2 linked regions of the Kluyveromyces lactis genome follow. The protein of the gene in region 2 purifies or fractionates together with the protein of the main gene of each other region. This does not show direct contact. Links are inferred from orthologs where the notes say so. Each region holds a gene or a part of one and is shown on either strand. Other genes may lie near its edges. The genes, in order: COX1 and COA1.

Region 1 (4,634 bases), on a different chromosome or scaffold from region 2:
AATATTATTTGGAATTTTAATTATATATTTAATTATTATAGTATTATTATATTCTTTATTTATTAAATTTGAATATAAATTAGTACCATAAATTGTTAATTTTTTATTATAATAATTATTATTATTATTATAAGAATTATAAGAATTATTATTATAAATCTTATTTATCCCCGCGGTCATGTTACCGATAACCGGTGACTGACCGCGGGGATTATTATTATTATTATTATTATTATGATTATTATTAATATATATATATTTTATATATTTTTTGATCAACTTAATACTCTTGCTAAAGGAGTTTATTAATCATGAGAAAATTTTAATACCTGTAGGAATTGCAATAATCATTGTAGCCGATGTGAAATAAGCTCTAGTATCTGCATCTAATCCTACAATATACATATGATGTGATCATACTAAGAAACCTAATAATCCAATTGAAGCCATAGCATATACCATTGATACTTCACCGAATACTGGTTTTTTAGAATAAGTTGATACGATATGTGAAATAATACCGAATCCAGGAATAATTAAAATATAAACTTCGGGGTGACCAAAGAATCCAAATCTAAATAATATATTATCTTTTCCCCAAATATTATTTTTGATAATAGCACGGGTAGACTCTATAATATATATCTCATATATAATATATGACCTTATTATTAATAAGTGATTCCGACTGTACATTAAGCAATATTATTATATCACCCATTGGTGAAGCAGTCTGTAGCGATCAGAATATATAATTATATATATTATAACCGACGGTCTAAATCTGAGAAATTGTTGACCGTACCACCAATGTTGCATTATATAATATATATATAATACTAGAAAATAGTATATTTATCTCTTCTCCCCATATCTTCTTATCAGCTTAGCTGGGAAGAAGATATGGGGGGGGTATTAAAAAAGGTAAATCCCTTGGATGGTGTCCGAATAAGAGAATAATAAATATTTAGTCTCTTAATTTATATATATATATTAAGAGAGATATAATCTTTTTATTTTTCATATCAACATTGTTATATCTTTTCTAATTAACTTAAGTTAAACTATTTCCTTTGTTTCAATATTTTTTATTTATACTAATAAAATATGATTATTTATTAATTAATTCCCTGCGCGACTCACCCAACCCTTTATGAGGGTCGGGTGATGTCGCGCAGGGTTTAGATATTTTTTTAATATATAATTTTTGTTCTTCATTTAAAGGTTTATTTTGTTTATAATAATTTATTACATGAATAAATTTATCTAAACTATTAGATTTATCAGATAATAAAGGATATTCTTTAAAATAATTTAAAATAAAAATACAATTATTTAATCCTGAAATTCATAATTGTCAATTATCATCTTTAGAATTAGAATAAACTTTACCAATATTTTTTTCACTATTAATGTTATATAATGAATTAGTATTAGATTTATCAATAAATAAATTTAAAATATGTTCTAATACATATTTATTAACAATATGTTTTTGACTTAATGCATATAAAAATCTAGGTGTATTTTTATTATCTTTTAAAGAAATATCAAAACAACCTTCAGCATCAGTAAATCCAGATAATCAATAATCATTTAAAGTAGGTAATTTACAATAATTTTTTAAAATAATTATAGGTTCATTATTTTTTAATAATTTTTCATTTAATTTAGCTAAAAAAATTATAAATTTACCATATCTAGTAGGTAATACTAAATTACCATTAAAAATTAATGATAATAAATAAATATCTCTTCTTTTATGTACTACTCATCTATATGTTATATCTTTTTTAGATTGTAAAATTACATCTCCTATATTAAAATTATTTTTAATATAATTTAAAATTTTTATATCTTTAGAAGTTACAACAACAGAAATATCACTTCTTTTTATTAAAATAAATGAACCTTTACCTTCAAAAAATCCTACAAATCATTCTAAAAATTTTTGATCAGGAACAGAATTTATAGGTTTAAATTCTTTATATTTTAAATTAAATTCATCAAAATAAAATTTATCTTGATTAAATTCTAAATTTTTAAATGAAGATAATCATAAATTAATATTATATTTATAATCATAAATTACTATATAAAATGGCATAGAAAACAAATGTTGGTATAAAACAGGGTCACCACCACCTGCTACTTCGAAGAATGAAGTATTGAAGTTTCTATCTAATAATAACATTGTAACACCTGCTGATAATACAGGTAATGATAATAATAATAAGAATGCTGTAATGAAAATAGATCATACAAATAATGGTAATCTATGCATTGTCATACCATTTGTTCTCATATTTAATGTTGTTACAATGAAATTAATAGCACCTAATAATGATGAAATAGATGTTAAATGTAAAGCAAAAATTGCTAAATCAACACTAGGTCCTGAATGTGCTTGAATTGATGATAATGGAGGATATACAGTTCATCCAGTACCTGCACCAGATTCTACTAATGTAGAAGTTACTAAACATACTAAAGCAGGTGGTAAACATCAGAATGAAATATTATTTAATCTTGCAAAAGACATATCTGATGCTCCAATTAATAAAGGTAACATATAGTTACCAAAACCACCAATTAATGCCGGCATTACTAAGAAGAAAATTATTAAGACCGCATGCCCAACTACTAAGACATTAAATAATTGATGATTTCCGCTTAAAACTTGATTACCTGGTGCGGCTAACTCTAATCTAATGATTAAAGACATGGCAGTACCTGCCATACCACAGAAAATAGCAAAGATAAAGTATAAAACAGCAATATCTTTAGCATTTGTAGAATATAATCATCTTTCGATCATTAATTTATTTTTATAATTATTATATTATATTTAAAATATATAATATAATAAACTATTATTATTAGTTATATTTACCCGCGGCTCCCCCCCTGAAGGGGGGGGGGAGCCGCGGGATTAGTATGTAATATACATTATGTTTTTTATTATTAATTAATTAATTAGTTATATATAATTATTATTATAATTATATAATTATAGATAAATTCTTGACCCCCGCGCTCCTTCCCATCCCTTTATGGGATGGGAAGGGAGCGCGGGGGATAAATAAGTTTTATCTTACTTATATATAATTTATATATATAAAAATATATAAATTTACCAATTTACTATGCAGATCGGTAAAAATATACATTTCCCCGCGGTTTCACCCCCCCCTTAAAGGGGTGGGGAGGAACCGCGGGGGTTATATTAATTAATTTAATAGATATTATGTGAATAGTCGGAATAATTATTCTATTAATATATAATAAGCCTCTTAAAGAAAAATATTATTCTAATTATATTAATAATAAAAAATAAATAAATATATTAGGTAGGGCTTATTTCCCACCATATGGTGGGAAATAAGCCCCCCTCATTAGTATTATTTTATATAATAAATAATAATATTATAAATAAATATAATATATAATTATATTAAAATATATATATGTATATTAATCCGCGCCTCATCCTTTATAATGGATGAGGCGCGGATAATACTTTTCCCGCGGACTCCTTTAAAGGAGTCCGCGGGGGTTTATTATTAATATTATAATATATAATAAATAAGAATTACCCCGCGGCTCATCACCCTACATTCGTAGGGTGAGAGACCGCGGGGGAAAAATATTATTATAATAATTAATTATTATAATAATGGTTATCCTAAATTTATTACTCCCTACTCCCCCCCTTCAATATCTGCGCACCAATCGTGTGCGACAGGAAGGGGGGGGAGTATAGCATGAGATCAATAAATTATTTTTATACTCTTATTTATATATAATTATTATTATATTTAAAAATATAATATAATATAATATAATATAATATAATAATTCCGCGGATTCATAACATGAATCCGCGGGATATAAAATAAGTAAGAATCCCCGTCTCCTTGTGGGTCGGGAAGGTGACCGTGGGGAAACCCCTAATAATATTGTAGGGTTTGCAGGGAAAGAATATTATTATATATAATTTATTAATTATAAATTATATAATTATTGTTCATTTAATCATTCTAAGAATGCTGGTAATGAAACTGCTTCAATTTTAATAGGCATAGCTGAATGTGATTGTCCACAAATTTCTGAACATTGTCCATAGAATACACCTTCTCTTTGAATTAAAGCTGATACTTGATTTAATCTACCAGGAGCTGCATCAATTTTAATACCTAAACTAGGTACAGCAAAATCATGAATAACATCAGCTGCTGTAACAACAAATCTAATATGTGTATCAACAGGTACTACTACTGAAGTATCAGTATCTAATAATCTTAATTGACCATCTTCTAATAAATCTTCAGGAATAACATATGATTCAAATTCTACTGTTTCACCATTATCATTAATGAAATCTGAGTATTCATATTTTCAATATCATTGTAAACCAATAGCTTTAATAGTCATTGCTGGAGAAATAACTTCATCACATAAATATAATAAAATGAATGAAGGGAAAGCAATAATTAATAAAATTACAGCAGGGAAAATTGTTCAAATAATTTCAATAGTTTGACCATGTTTAATATATTTATAAGCAATAGGATTTTTACTATAAGTTCTTACAATTGTAAATAATAATCATGATACTAATCCTAAAATAATAA
Region 2 (2,590 bases):
AGGTTCTAAAGTGTTGACCTTACCAGCGGAAAACGATTCATCTGAACAATATAGGCTACAGAATAATTACGATATCAGAGATGATCATCACATTGCTGAAGAAGATCAGTACGAAAATGAGTTCACGAACTACTCGGAGAATAAAAGGGAATTTATCGATTCTTTGAGACCAAAAAGACAAACATAAGGCAACCGTAAAATGGTACTATCTGTCACTCCATGGAGGAAATCCATTCATCTCCTGGCTGAGAGAAATTCACATACTCGAAAAAAAAAAATCTCATTAACCATTGTTTGCCAACCGGTAGACTCATACCATATTGGAGCTGCTATTACTATCATCATTGTTATTATTATTATTACTATTTTAATCTGTGTATTTAATATTTACAAGATATAACGAAAGGAAAAGTACACAGTTAGCTTACAAGGGAGAATAAGGGCTAATGCATTATGATAAAATGATACATAAATAATGAATTCTCAGTTGAAAAATACACTTTTATAAAGTTTTAGCACCACCGCTTTCCTCTAATAGATCGTATTTCTTGTCATCAACCTTGACACTCCATTCGTGGATGAAAAATTCTTGGTGTTGGTTCTCTCTGTCTGCAACTAATCGAACTTCACCGACCTTACCCTTGGAACCCTTCAAGTAAAACTTGATATTGACATTACCAGCAACTTGATTAAGCTCCCCAGAGACCCATGGAACGAGCCCATCGAAATCTATCTGATCACCAAGAACTTCTCTAATCTTAGGCGAACGACGCATATGGTATAGGGTATTGGAAATAACCGGAGACTGTGTCTTCTCATAGTTAAAAATCATAGCCAATGCTGAGGTCATTAGAACAATGAACCCAACAAACTGGAGTCTTCTCTTGTTGACATCTTTAGTTGGGTCTGGTAGCTCTCTATCGATTCTCATTGGTCTAAACTTGTCTTTTAATATAATCTCTGGTTCTTGAGAGGCCAAAAACCTCCTTGTAAGTATTCTGCTCACAGAAATTCCGGATCTTGGTGCAAGGATGCGTCTAAACATTGTTAATATGGAGTTTCTAGCCTGTGCTGGTGTTGGCGGATTGTGTAGCAATGTCCCTTCCCTGTTTCCTAATCATCGTATGTTGTACTGGCCAGCTTCTTCGACTAAATTTTTCAAATACTCGGATCTTCTTATAATATCATTTCATAGTAGAAATCAAACAATGAATCGAGAAAAAGGTATGAAACTTGAGTCAAATCAGCAAACAGGAAATCATCTGTGGCCAAAAGAATATACAAAGACGAGGTGTCTTCAAATAAACCACGTTTATTCCCTAAAATGACCTTTGTATGTTATGCTATGAAGCCTAGTTTGGGTTGTCAATCGTATTGCTACGATTATATGTCTAAAAGATACTAACATCTATGCTATGAAATGCGCTCATTCCTTCCGAAGAGGAAGAAGGAAAGAGTGTGAATTGGATGAGCAAGACTAATTTAAGATCGGTAAAACTGTACATTTGGCTATTGATGCTGTTTTAATTTCTACCTGCTTGGCAGGTATTAAGAGAAATACTGGATTGACCCCTAAGATTGATCACATTAGCGATATTACCGTTAGGGAATATTCCACGAAATATTTGAACTTGGGAGAGTCAGTATATGATTATACAGTGGCAACTCTAGGATCTTCATCATATTTCCAGAGGAAATGAGATACAAAAGACGAAGTTCCCCTTTAATAACTTAATTTGTTTTTTTTGTGTGATCTTTTCGCTATAACGGGTTAGCTATGAATGAAACAGATGTGATTGTAAGTCCTTAACATATATTTATAGTTAGTATATTCATTATATATTTAAGTGGTTTTGAAAATTAAAGTTCGGTGTAATGATACATTGCTGGTTTCAGCTTGGATTGATGGCGAATTCAGCTACAACTTCTTCGGTTGATTGCTTGTCGTCCATTTGCTTCTGCTCGCAAAATTTAAAGATGGCATCGTAGCCAGTTGGTGTATCAGCAGCATTTTCTGTATTTTGAAAGAGATCATTTATGTGTGAAATACTAGGAGACTTCCGTTCTGAGCTTTTTCCATCACTGCCAATGTTACCTCCCAGTGAGCGTAGATTCTCCCAGAAATCATTACCATCTTCTTCCATAATTGATATTGAGGACACGGTGCTTGGGGTTACTTTATTCTTGGGTCCATTGCGATCAAAATCTTCAGCTGGTGTATTTCCTGTCGATCCTGCAGCACTAGAGTTTCTGGATTCATTTTTACCTCTTCTCTTTGTTTGTTTCCTCTTATGTCCATGAAGTCCATTCGGACTTGGATTTAACAATCGGCTTAATTCAACTGTCTTGGCGTTTTCACTGGATCCAAGCTGTGGCTTGACCGTGGGTGGTAAATAATTGAAATGTGAGTGCCTACTTGGCCCTATTTCTCTGATTTCTGGAGCTGTAGGCGATGGATAAGATGCAGTGGAACTTGTAGGATTTGGTGGCAACTGGCTTAAGCCGTTTTGTGCATAATTAGCCCCGTTCATTAAATGCTGTTGTTTTATGTTCTGCTCTTGAGCTTCATCTAGCGAATCATGATGATGAT

Evidence for each region.
Region 1: the proteins of COA1 (region 2) and COX1 purify together in Saccharomyces cerevisiae (affinity purification with western blotting, with the first as the bait; 4 studies listed by BioGRID). This does not show direct contact. The link is inferred for Kluyveromyces lactis from reciprocal best matches to the Saccharomyces cerevisiae genes COA1 and COX1.

The regions. Positions count from the first base shown.
Region 1 is NC_006077.1:30,916-35,549, forward strand, and holds the start of COX1 (cytochrome c oxidase subunit 1), read right to left. Parts: upstream 2,819-4,634; coding exon 2,110-2,818; intron 570-2,109; coding exon 308-569; exon of another isoform or gene 307-307; intron 1-306. Other genes in the region: COX2 (cytochrome c oxidase subunit 2), read right to left, coding at 4,021-4,634. UniProt on the Saccharomyces cerevisiae protein: Component of the cytochrome c oxidase, the last enzyme in the mitochondrial electron transport chain which drives oxidative phosphorylation.
Region 2 is NC_006042.1:1,009,587-1,012,176, forward strand, and holds COA1 (Coa1p), read right to left. Parts: upstream 1,046-2,590; coding exon 503-1,045; downstream 1-502. Other genes in the region: AIM20 (Aim20p), read left to right, coding at 1-187; ATG44 (mitofissin), read left to right, coding at 1,325-1,333, 1,488-1,700; KLLA0_F10978g (uncharacterized protein), read right to left, coding at 1,893-2,590. UniProt on the Saccharomyces cerevisiae protein: Required for efficient assembly of cytochrome c oxidase in the mitochondrial inner membrane. Involved in a step coupling MSS51-dependent cotranslational insertion of COX1 to the addition of its heme A and copper B cofactors.